Linked DNA regions of Sus scrofa. The protein of the gene in region 2 interacts with the protein of the main gene of each other region in a pairwise test. Links are inferred from orthologs where the notes say so. Each region holds a gene or a part of one and is shown on either strand. Other genes may lie near its edges.

Evidence for each region. The genes of interacting proteins can lie anywhere in the genome.
Region 1: the proteins of MAPK1IP1L (region 2) and SS18L1 interact in binary tests that used the Homo sapiens proteins (3 or more experiments, as listed by UniProt). The two-hybrid records come from large-scale screens. The link is inferred for Sus scrofa from reciprocal best matches to the Homo sapiens genes MAPK1IP1L and SS18L1.

Annotation. Positions count from the first base shown.
Region 1 is NC_010459.5:61,580,672-61,585,868, forward strand, and holds part of SS18L1 (calcium-responsive transactivator), read left to right. Parts: intron 1-45; coding exon 46-130; intron 131-736; coding exon 737-881; intron 882-1,344; coding exon 1,345-1,542; intron 1,543-2,333; coding exon 2,334-2,495; intron 2,496-2,776; coding exon 2,777-2,881; intron 2,882-3,770; coding exon 3,771-3,863; intron 3,864-5,197. UniProt on the Homo sapiens protein: Transcriptional activator which is required for calcium-dependent dendritic growth and branching in cortical neurons. Recruits CREB-binding protein (CREBBP) to nuclear bodies.
Region 2 is NC_010443.5:184,407,203-184,412,399, forward strand, and holds part of MAPK1IP1L (MAPK-interacting and spindle-stabilizing protein-like), read left to right. Parts: intron 1-2,536; 5' UTR 2,537-2,540; coding exon 2,541-2,558; intron 2,559-3,202; coding exon 3,203-3,910; intron 3,911-4,924; coding exon of another isoform or gene 4,925-4,936; exon of another isoform or gene 4,937-5,197.

The sequences.
Region 1 (5,197 bases), on a different chromosome or scaffold from region 2:
TGTCCTGGGTGCCTTACCTCACCTCACCTGCACCCTCGCCCGCAGGTACCAGCAGATTCTGCACCGGAACCTGGTCTACCTGGCCACGATCGCGGACTCCAACCAGAACATGCAGTCCCTGCTGCCCGCCGTGAGTGGCCACCAAGCCAGGGGCGGCGGGGGGCGGGGGGGGCAGAGGTGTAGAAGCATCGTGCCACACCTTCGGAGCTGCTGTTTGGTCCAGATCGGGCGGGGGTCCTGTAAGCTGCTTCCCCTCTACATCCCGTGGCCAGAGGTGGGCCTGCGGGGGAGGGGGAGGGCCCCCGCCCCAGGAAGGTGGTGCTAATGCACAGGACATGCTGTGCAAGGGCCCTCGGACCCCGGGGTGGGAGGAACAGAGACCACCAGCCTGCCGAGACCAGGAGGGTGGGAGGTCTGTGCCGCAAGCCCAGAAGGACACAGCTGGTCTCCAGCAGAGCAGTCCCGAGCTTCAGGAAAGGGGGCCCAGCTTCGAACCTCCGCGCATGTGTTGACAAGCTTGGTGAACACGTGGCGTGTCCCTTCCATCCTGGCCAGAGGTGTTCCGGCTGGTCACTGGTGGTCCGGCTAAGCATGAAAGTGGGTCCATCTTAGAGGCGTTTGCCAGGTGCCCATGAAGTGTGTGGCTGCAGGTCTTGGGGCGCCTGAGCCCCGGAGTGGCTTCTGGTGGCGGTTCTCCGAGTTAGCCACCCGCTCAGCAACCTTCCCTTTGCCACAGCCGCCGACACAGAGCATGACGCTGGGCCCCGGGGGGCTGTCGCAGAGCGGCTCCAGCCAGGGCCTGCACGCCCAGGGCAGCCTCGGCGACGCCATCGGCGCGGGCTTGCCGCCCTCCTCCCTCATGCAGGCCCAGATCGGCAACGGTGAGAGGCCTGGGTGCAGTGGGTCGGGGCTGGCTCCGGGGCACAGGGTCACTGCCGAGGGTGACAGTGGCCGGCTGCCGCCATCCATGGGGGACCTCGGCCCCCTGGAGGTCCTGCTGCAGGTGCATGCGTGCAGTGAAACATGGGGGCACAAAGCCGTCATTCCAGGTCCTCTGCTGGCACGGCAGGGCGGGGGCACGTGCGGGCCCCTGACAGGAACGGAAGTGTTCTGTCCTTGGGTTAAGAACCATTAACAGGCGTCAGGAGCTATTAGCAGCAGCATCGTGGGGAGCAGGCAGCTGCCCCCCTCCTGCCCCCGTCGCAGTCACGTGCCGGATTCCCAGCGCCCTTGACCGTGGTCAGCCTCCCTCCCACGGTGGCCGGAGGGAAGCGAGCGAGCGTGAGCGGAGGCAGGGCCGCCGTCAGAGGGTTCAGATGCCCCCCCCCCCCCGCCGTCCCGCAGGCCCGAACCACGTGTCGCTGCAGCAGACGGCGCCGAGCACGTTGCCCACCACCTCCATGAGCATGTCCGGCAGCAGCCACGGCTCGGGGCCCGGCTACAGCCACTCGGGACCCGCCTCGCAGAGCGTGCCCCTGCAGGGCCAGGGCACCATCAGCAACTACGTGTCTCGGGCCAACATCAACATGCAGTCCAACCCAGGTACCGCCCTGCCCGGCCCCACCACCCTCCCGCAGGTGTGCAGGCAGCTGCCCCGGGGACGGAGCCCGGGGGCGCCGGCCAGGTGGGTGGGGGGCTAGGTGGCTGCCCGTGGCGGCTTCAGGGAAGGCTCTGGGGAGGGGTGGCATGTGCCCCACTGGGAGGACAGTCTGGGGCTCCCATGGGTGGGGAGCCGGCGTGGCCAGAGTGCAGGAGCGGGAAGCAGGCAGGGCCAGCTGAGGGGCCAGGGGGAGCCCCGTGAGCTGGCTGTCCACCGTGGCAGTGGCTTGGGACCTTGGGCATTTGGGAAGCATCAGGTCCAAACGGGGATGGCCCCGAGTGTCAGGCAAAGTCCAGAGAGGACCTGAGGCGCCTCCTTGGTTTATTGAAAGCGATCTACTTTGGATACGTTGAGTTGAATAAAATATGTTGCTGCACTAGCTTCCACCTGTTTCTTTTGGCTTCTCTTTGTGGCTCCTCTCCCGTTGTGCTGGTCGGCCCTGCCCTAGAGGGTCCTGAGCAGGGGTGACAGGAAAGGACAGGCTGTGACAGGGCCCCTGCCAGGGGCCTTCGAGGCCCGGCTCTGGGGGTGGGAGTGACACACTCCTCGGGGACCAGCCTGGGGGAGTGAGGGCTGGCATTTCACTCACGTTTTATGAGTCGCCCAGAGGTGCACTGGCCGGAAGGGTGCTGTGGCCTCGAGAGGCTGGCCTTGGTGGGGGGGCCCAGGCCGGGGAGGGAGGCGCTGCCCCGGGAGCTTCTCGGGGTTATTCGGGGTCTGTCGTGTCGCCCAGTGTCCATGATGCACCAGCAGGCGGCCTCGTCCCACTACAGCGCGGCGCAGGGCGGGGCCCAGCACTACCAGGGCCAGTCCATGGCCATGATGGGCCAGAGCGGGCAGGGGAGCGGCATGATAGGGCAGCGGCCCATGGCCCCCTACCGGCCCTCCCAGCAAGGTAAGGCCCGCCCTCAGTGCCTCTGTCTCCGTGGGAACCGGTGGGGGGTGGCACAGAGCCCTGGGCTGTGACAGAAGCCGGTGCCGTCCCCTGGGTGGGTCAGGTGCGAGCCCCCGTTGGGGGCGTGTCCATGGGGGAGCGGGGCCGGGATGCGAAGTCTGGGGTACCAGGGGCTGGATGGGTGGCAGAGGCCTGGGGTCCCCTGGGCGGGCATCCCCCAACTGGTGGCCCGCTGGGGAGATTCTCGGGTGCAGGAGTTAACTCCCAGTGCTGTCTCCCAGGCTCGTCCCAGCAGTACCTGGGTCAGGAGGAGTACTACGGCGGCGAGCAGTACGGCCACAGCCAGGCCGCCTCGGAGCCCCTGAGCCAGCAGTACTACCCCGATGGTGAGCTGCGGCGGTCCCAGTCCAGACCCCGTCACCCCAACACCCGCTGGCAGAGCTCACAGAGCCCCCTTTGGGGCTGGGGTGGGGGCGGCCACCCTGGGCTGGGGGGTGAGGTCCTTTGAGTGGACGGATGGAAATGCCTTAAAAAGTGGACATAAAAGTTGTGAGTTCCCTGGGGTGCAGCAGCATCTGCAGTGTCTTGGGAGTGCTGGGACGTAGGTTCAATCCCCGGCCCGGCACAGTGGCTTGAGGATCAGGCGTTGCTGCAGCTGTGGCCTAGGTCATGTCTGCGGCTCGGATCTGATCCCTGGCCCGAGAACTACACAGGCTGCGGGGCGGCCAAAAAAAATTGTGCAGCGCCTTCGGGACGGTGACAAGCCTGAGCTGACTGTCCCGTGTCCCTCACCTCCCAGCTGCTCGGTCAGTCTCGGCAGGCTCTTTGCCTTTTCTGGGTCACCGTTCAGGCATCTTTAAGTAGTCTCAGGTTTTGTGGAGGTGCCATTTAAAGTGGCCGTAGAGGCTGGGTGGGATCTGGGGAGGACCCCAGGCAGGGAACGGTGTGAGCTGGCCGGCTCTCGGTGTGGGTGGTAGGGAGGTGGTTGAGGCCAGTGCCAGGCAAGCCGTGAGCCCTCCGTGTAGCAGTGACCAGGCCTCGTGGGGGTCGTGTGCTCCTGATGGGATCCCACAGAGCAGTGTGGGACAGTGACCACGTAGTGACGTTAAGAGCTGCGGACGCCGCCCTTATCCAGCTTCACGCGGCCCCGGGAGCAGGGGGGCCGCGTCCAGCTGCGACTCTCCTGACCCCAGCGGCTGTGTTCCTGGCTGTCCCTGCCAGGTCTGGGTGGTCAGGGCCCTCCGCTGACTGCAGGGTGTCCCCGTCTGCCCACAGGACACGGCGATTACGCCTACCAGCCGTCGTCCTACACAGAGCAGAGCTACGACCGGTCCTTTGAGGAGTCCACGCAGCACTACTACGAGGGCGGTAAGGCGGCCGCGGGCTCCTAGCCGGGTGTGCCCGGGGTCTGGGGCGGTGTCCGCCAGTGCCTACGTGTTTCTGAAGCAGGAGGGCCTCGGGGTCCAATCCACCACCTGGTCGAGGCTCAGCCTCCTCGGTCAAGGCCATCCGTTGTTCTAAACTCGGGTGGGCGGCCGGCAGGGACCCAGGCGCCCTGCCCCCTCTGGACCCGAGCCGCTGGCACGTGTGGGGGGGTGTTGCTGCAGTGGGGGTGGCCTGGGCATTGCTTCAAACACCTGCTGGCCGATAAGGCGCATCTGGGGGTGGGGGTGGTCCGGTGCAGGGTCAGATGGAGGTGAGGCCACGACGTGTTGGCCGTGGCCGCCTGGACAGACAGCCCTGCTCGGTAGTGCTCGCCCATTCCTCTGCCGTAAGCGCTCCCAGCCCCACTGACCTGAAGCCGTCCAGGTGACGTCCCTAAACATAGATTTGGGAAGAAACAGGCACAGGTGATTCACAGCGGCTGCCAGCTGGCCCGTCGGGTGGAGGGACTTCCCAGCGTCCTCAGGAGGCCCCCGAGAAGAGGGCATGAGCGCCCAGGGTGACGTGATGTCCAGGTACCCACCTGGGTGTCGGGAGCAGGGAGAACGGAGGGGCTGCCGGGGGTCCTGGAGAAAGAGGACAAACGGTCCATGTGGGACGGGTGCCTTGAAAAGTCGCGTTTGACTTCCGGGGTGATGTTTTCCTAGCGGTAAAATCGCAGAACAAAACCGACCGTCTTAACCATTTTAAGTGCACGGTGCAGGGGCGTTAAGTGCGTTCCCATTGTTGTGTCCGCATCCCTGCCGTGGTCTCCGAACCTTCTCAGACCCTGGCCCCCGCCTCGCCCCCGGCCCCCGCACTCCTCTGGGTCCCTGGGGGGGGGGTCACACAGGGTTCGTCCTTTCCCTCAGCAGCACCTCTCCAAGGTCATCCATGTGGGAGCAGGTGTCAGAACTGCTTTCCTTTCTGAGGCAAATTGACCACATTCAACTTGCCCCTTCATCTGTTGATGGGCCCTTGGGTTGCTTCTCCTTTTGGCGATTGTGAGTCGTGTTCTAGGAATGTGGGTTTACAAACATCTCTTCCAGGTCCCGCTTTTGATTCTTTGGGGTGCAGGCAGACCTCTCAGATATTTGGCTCGAGACCATCAGGATAAATCAGAAGTTGCAATAGAGAAAGTCACCTGAGTTTTTTGGTTTCACAGTATATACAAAACTAAAAAAAACCCAATGTATTTAACTTAATTTAAAAATAAAAACCCTGGGAGTTCCCATTGTGGCTCAGCGGTAACGAACCTGACGGGCATCCATGAGCATGTG
Region 2 (5,197 bases):
ACTGTCCTAAAAAGAAAAAAGAAAAAAAGAGAAAGTATACCATTTAGAAATTTGACTCAAAAAAATTTGTAGGAGACTTGATTTTAAAAACCACTGAGTAATAAATGATAATGTTGGGACTAGGAAGACATACCTTATTCTTGAATGAGAATATTTTATATTTTAAATGTATCAAATGTCCCCTAAATTAATCTGTAAATTTAATGCAGTTTCAACTAGAACGCTAACAGATTCTTTTTTTAAACAAAATAATCTGGAAAAAATAAGCATGAGAATTTTCAGGAAAATCTGGAAAGACAGCAATACTAGGTCATAAAAATCTGTTAAAAATATAAAGCTGCCCTAATAAGATGACATGTTATAGTGTGAATTAGAAAAGAATAAAGCTCACAATACCTATGGGAAATGATGGGGGCTCTACAGTCTGGTGGCTAAGAGCCTTGGCTCTGGATTATACTTGCGTTTAAGTCGCTTCTCTGCTTGTCCCTAGCTCTGTGACCTTAAACAAGTTAACTTGCTAAGCTTCCTTTTCTACAGCTGTCAGCTGGGTATGATGATAGAATCTGCAGCTGCTAAATGAGATTATATACCTAACACACTTAACGGTACCTGTTCCATGATATATATTCAGTATTTGTTGTCAGTAGCAGGTGTAGAATGTGTTAAAGGTAGCTTGTTATGTCAATTGAGAAAAGATAGATTATTCAGTAATTATTATTGGAAAGAAAGATTTTAAATAAGATAAACCATATAAATACTATTAGAAAGCATAGGTGAACTTTTTTTCTCTCATAAATGACAGACAGCTAATTTCCTTAATGTGTTAGAAAGCACTAAAAAAGATGTACTACTAAGTAGTAAAATGATCAAAGTAAAAAAAAAAGTATGTTGCTGTCTAATTTATTATGAAATCAAGGAACAAGCAAAAACTAAGAAAGTGACTGTTGAGTTGGAAGAGGGAATTGATTTGAAAGTAGCCTGTGCAAACCTTGTGGACTGAGGGGAATGTTCCATATCTCAGATGGTTATAGGGGAATTTACAACTGTCAGAGCTTACTGACCTGAACACTAATCCATGCATTTTATTGGGAGTTAATTGTACTTGAGGTTTTTTTGTTTGTTTGTTTTTGTCTTTTTGCCTTTTCTAGGGCCGTTCCTGTGGCATATGGAGGTTCCCGGGCTAGGGTCGAATCGGAGCTGTAACCGCCGGCCTACACCAGAGCCACAGCAATGCAGGATCCGAGCCACGTCTGCGACCTACACCACAGCAACTCTGGATCCTTAACCCACTGAGCAAGGACAGGGGTCAAACCTGCAACCTCATGGTTCCTAGGCAGAGTCGTTAACCACTGAGCCATGATGGGAATTCCTGTACTTGAGTTTTATTTATTTATTTATTTATTGTCTTTTTGCTATTTCTTTGGGCCGCTCCCGCGGCATATGGAGGTTCCCAGACTAGGGGTCGAATCGGAGCTGTAGCCACCAACCTACGCCAGAGCCACAGCAACACCAGATCTGAGCCACATCTGTGACCTACACCACAGCTCACGGCAACACTGGATCCTTAACCCACTGAGCAAGGGCAGGGACCGAACCCGCAACCTCATGGTTCCTAGTCAGATTCGTTAACCACTGCCACGACAGGAACTCCTGTACTTGAGTTTTAAAGATTGAAAAACATAATCCAAAGCCATGAGCATATTCACAGAAAAAGAAGTCTAAATGAGGTATTAAATATAAATGATGCTCTGCTTTCCACCTAATTATGTAAGTTAAAACAACAAGATGCCAGTTTTTTTAACCTATCATAATTGAAAATGACTTACAAATTTAATAACATCCGGTGATGAAGGGGAATTTTAAAAAGATAGTGTAGGAGTTCCCTTTGTGGTTCAGCGGTTAACGAACCCAACTAGGATCCACAGGGATGAGGGCTCAGTCCCTAGTCTCTGCTCAGCAGGTTAAGGATCCGGCATTGCCGTGAGTTGTGGTGTAGGTCAAAGACGAGGCTTGGATTTGGCTTGGCTGTGGTGTGGGCTGGTGGCAACAGCTATGATTCGACCCCTAGCCTGGAAACTTCCAGATTTCGAGGGTGTGGCCCTAAAAACAAACAAACAAAAAGAATAAAAAGGATAGTGTAAACTGGCATGGGCTTTTTGAGATGGATTTTAGATGACCTTACCTGTCGATTATATATTTCACCTCTAGTACATTTCCCTGATGATAGACTCAGAAAGATGTGTTGAGAGATGTTCATTGTGTTGTTATTTAAAACAATTCAAAATGTGAACAATCTAAACTGCCACCAAATTGAGTGTAAACTGAATTATGGATCACTTTTATGTGATGTGCAACCATTAAAAAGGGATGAAGTTCATAGAGCTGTATGAATGAACTATTATAGAAATTATAAGTGATTAAGATTCCATTTAAGTTAAAATGATAGAAAGTTACTTAAAGAATATACAAGAAATGGTAAACACTGGTTTTGAAATATTCCTTCTTTTTTTTTGTTTTTGTTTTTGTTTTGTTTTAGGAAAATGTCTGATGAATTTTCGGTAAGTTGATGTATTTATTCTTCATAGGTTTTTGGCTCTTAGGAAAAAAAGGCGTGGTCCTGATTGTGGGCCATAAGTTTAAGAGAAATAGCTTTTGTGATCCTTGGATTTTTTTTTTTTTTTTTTTTTTGGCATGTGATTTTGATAGATGATTTGCCTTAATTTACTTAGCTTTAATGTGTTTGAAAATGCATTCTGTCTGTTTATTTCTTTATAACTCCTTAAAGTGTTAAGTCTGTCCTCTTATCCTGATGTTAATAATAGCCAACATCTGTTGAAAATTATATACCAGGCACTGTATTAAGTGCATTACATGAGTTATCTTGTTAAGCATCAAGTTAGCCCTAAGATACTGTTTTGAAAATGAGGAAACCCAAAGCTCAGAAAGGGTATATAACTTATTTGAACTAAAACCAGGATTCAGCTCACACTATGCTGATCAGCTGTATTTAGCAAACTTGAGTTTCTCTGTGGAATTTGCACTGTAAAACTGAAATTCAAGGTAACTCCTCAAATTTTGTATTAAATAAGTTGTTTTTAAATTGGCTTTTGAAGAATCCCTAAACCTTTATGGGTTTATATTCATGTTTGGCATTACTTGTCCCTGAATGAGATGAGTAAGACATGCTTGTTTTGTATTCCAGTTGGCAGATGCACTACCTGATCACTCCCCTGCCAAAACCTCTGCTGTGAGCAATACAAAACCTGGCCAACCTCCTCAAGGCTGGCCAGGTTCCAGCCCTTGGAATAACCCAAGTGCTCCACCTTCTGTGCCATCTGGACTCCCACCAAGTGCAACACCCTCCACTGTGCCTTTTGGACCAGCACCAACAGGAATGTATCCCTCTGTGCCTCCCACTGGACCACCTCCAGGACCCCCAGCACCCTTTCCTCCTTCTGGACCATCATGCCCCCCACCTGGTGGTCCTTATCCAGCCCCAGCTGTGCCAGGCCCTGGCCCCACAGGGCCTTATCCTACACCAAATATGCCCTTTCCAGAGCTTCCAAGACCATATGGTGCACCCACAGATCCAGCTGCAGCTGGTCCTTTAGGTCCATGGGGATCCATGTCTTCTGGACCTTGGGCACCAGGAATGGGAGGGCAGTATCCTACCCCTAATATGCCATATCCAGCTCCAGGGCCATATCCTGCTCCTCCTCCTCCCCAAGCACCAGGGGCAGCACCTCCTGTTCCATGGGGCACTGTTCCCCCAGGAGCCTGGGGACCACCAGGGCCATATCCTGCCCCTGCAGGATCATATCCCTCACCAGGACTCTATCCTGCTCCCAGTAATCCTTTTCAAGTGCCTTCAGGACCTTCTGGTGCTCCACCGATGCCTGGGGGCCCCCATGTGAGTGTTTAATTTGTTATTTAACATGTACTAATAGTCCCATAAGCACAAATGACAGATTGTCTCCAGTTTGGGATGGAAGATTAGAAAGCTTTTTAACCTTTTTAAAAAAAACAAAAACAAAACCAAAAAACTGTATATAAAGTAAGAGTAAATTTCAAGCTTCAGATGAACTTTGGGTAAAACATTTAAAAGGATGAAAGCACAAGTTACACATTCCTGATACTAAAAATAAGAAACTTCCCCAAAGACTGTACTGTAGTGAGCAATGTCCTCAAATAGCATTCATCGGGTAAACTCAGATGTATTTCATTGGACTTTTTAAAATTATAACATTTCTCAGTAATGTTTTCTAGTATCATAGCAAAGCACAAAGTTCAATAAAAGTAATCTCTGCCATTCTGGCTGGATATAGAGGTAGTTTGTTTTTTTTTTTTAAAGAGAATCCAAGGCAGTGAATGTGTGATGTCGCCCTTCTTTGATACAACTGCCTGTAGTGTTTCTCGGTCAAGGTTTTGTTAGATCCTTAGCAGCGTTGAGCTCCAGGTTATACCACTCTTCTGCTTTGCCAGTTATATATAATGCCATATGCTTTACTGTCAGCCAGGCTAGAATAGGGTTGATACCTTAGTGGAGGACCCTGTCTCAAACATATGACCAAATAGAAAAGCACCCTGTTTCCCCGTGAACTGAGCCAAGCCAGATTCTTAGGGGGAAAAAAAATCTATTTATTCTTAACAAAGAATGAATCATATCTCCAACCATATTAATCAGTCATCCACTTGAATTGTAATGGAAAAAAATCTTAAAGGGCCCTCAACTTCTTTTCATTAGTTTAAGTTGCTATTATATAGTCTTTAAAAATTTTTTTTCTAAATTGTATGCCAGAATAAGTGATGATTTGCCGTTTGGATTTATTAAGCAATAAATAAATTTTATTTTAAGCCACAGCAAGGAGTTAGTAAACTCCATTTACGAAATCTAGAAGTTTACTTTTTCTTTTTTCTGTTGCAGTCTTACCATTAAGTTAACAATGGACGAAGAGATGACGCTTTGCTTTTTGAAGTACATATATATATGCACATGAATGCATATATAAAAATTGCTGTTTCACTATTCTTAGAGGGCATTCATGAAAGAACACCTCTTGCACCTCTCAGAAGATATCTGCCTCTTGTGCTTGGATGTTTAGTACATCTGATGGATATAATCAGATAAAAATGTAAAAGTAAATCATTCAAATGTGATTTTTATTCGGTTTTTATGGAAAGTTAAAGTTAATAAGTA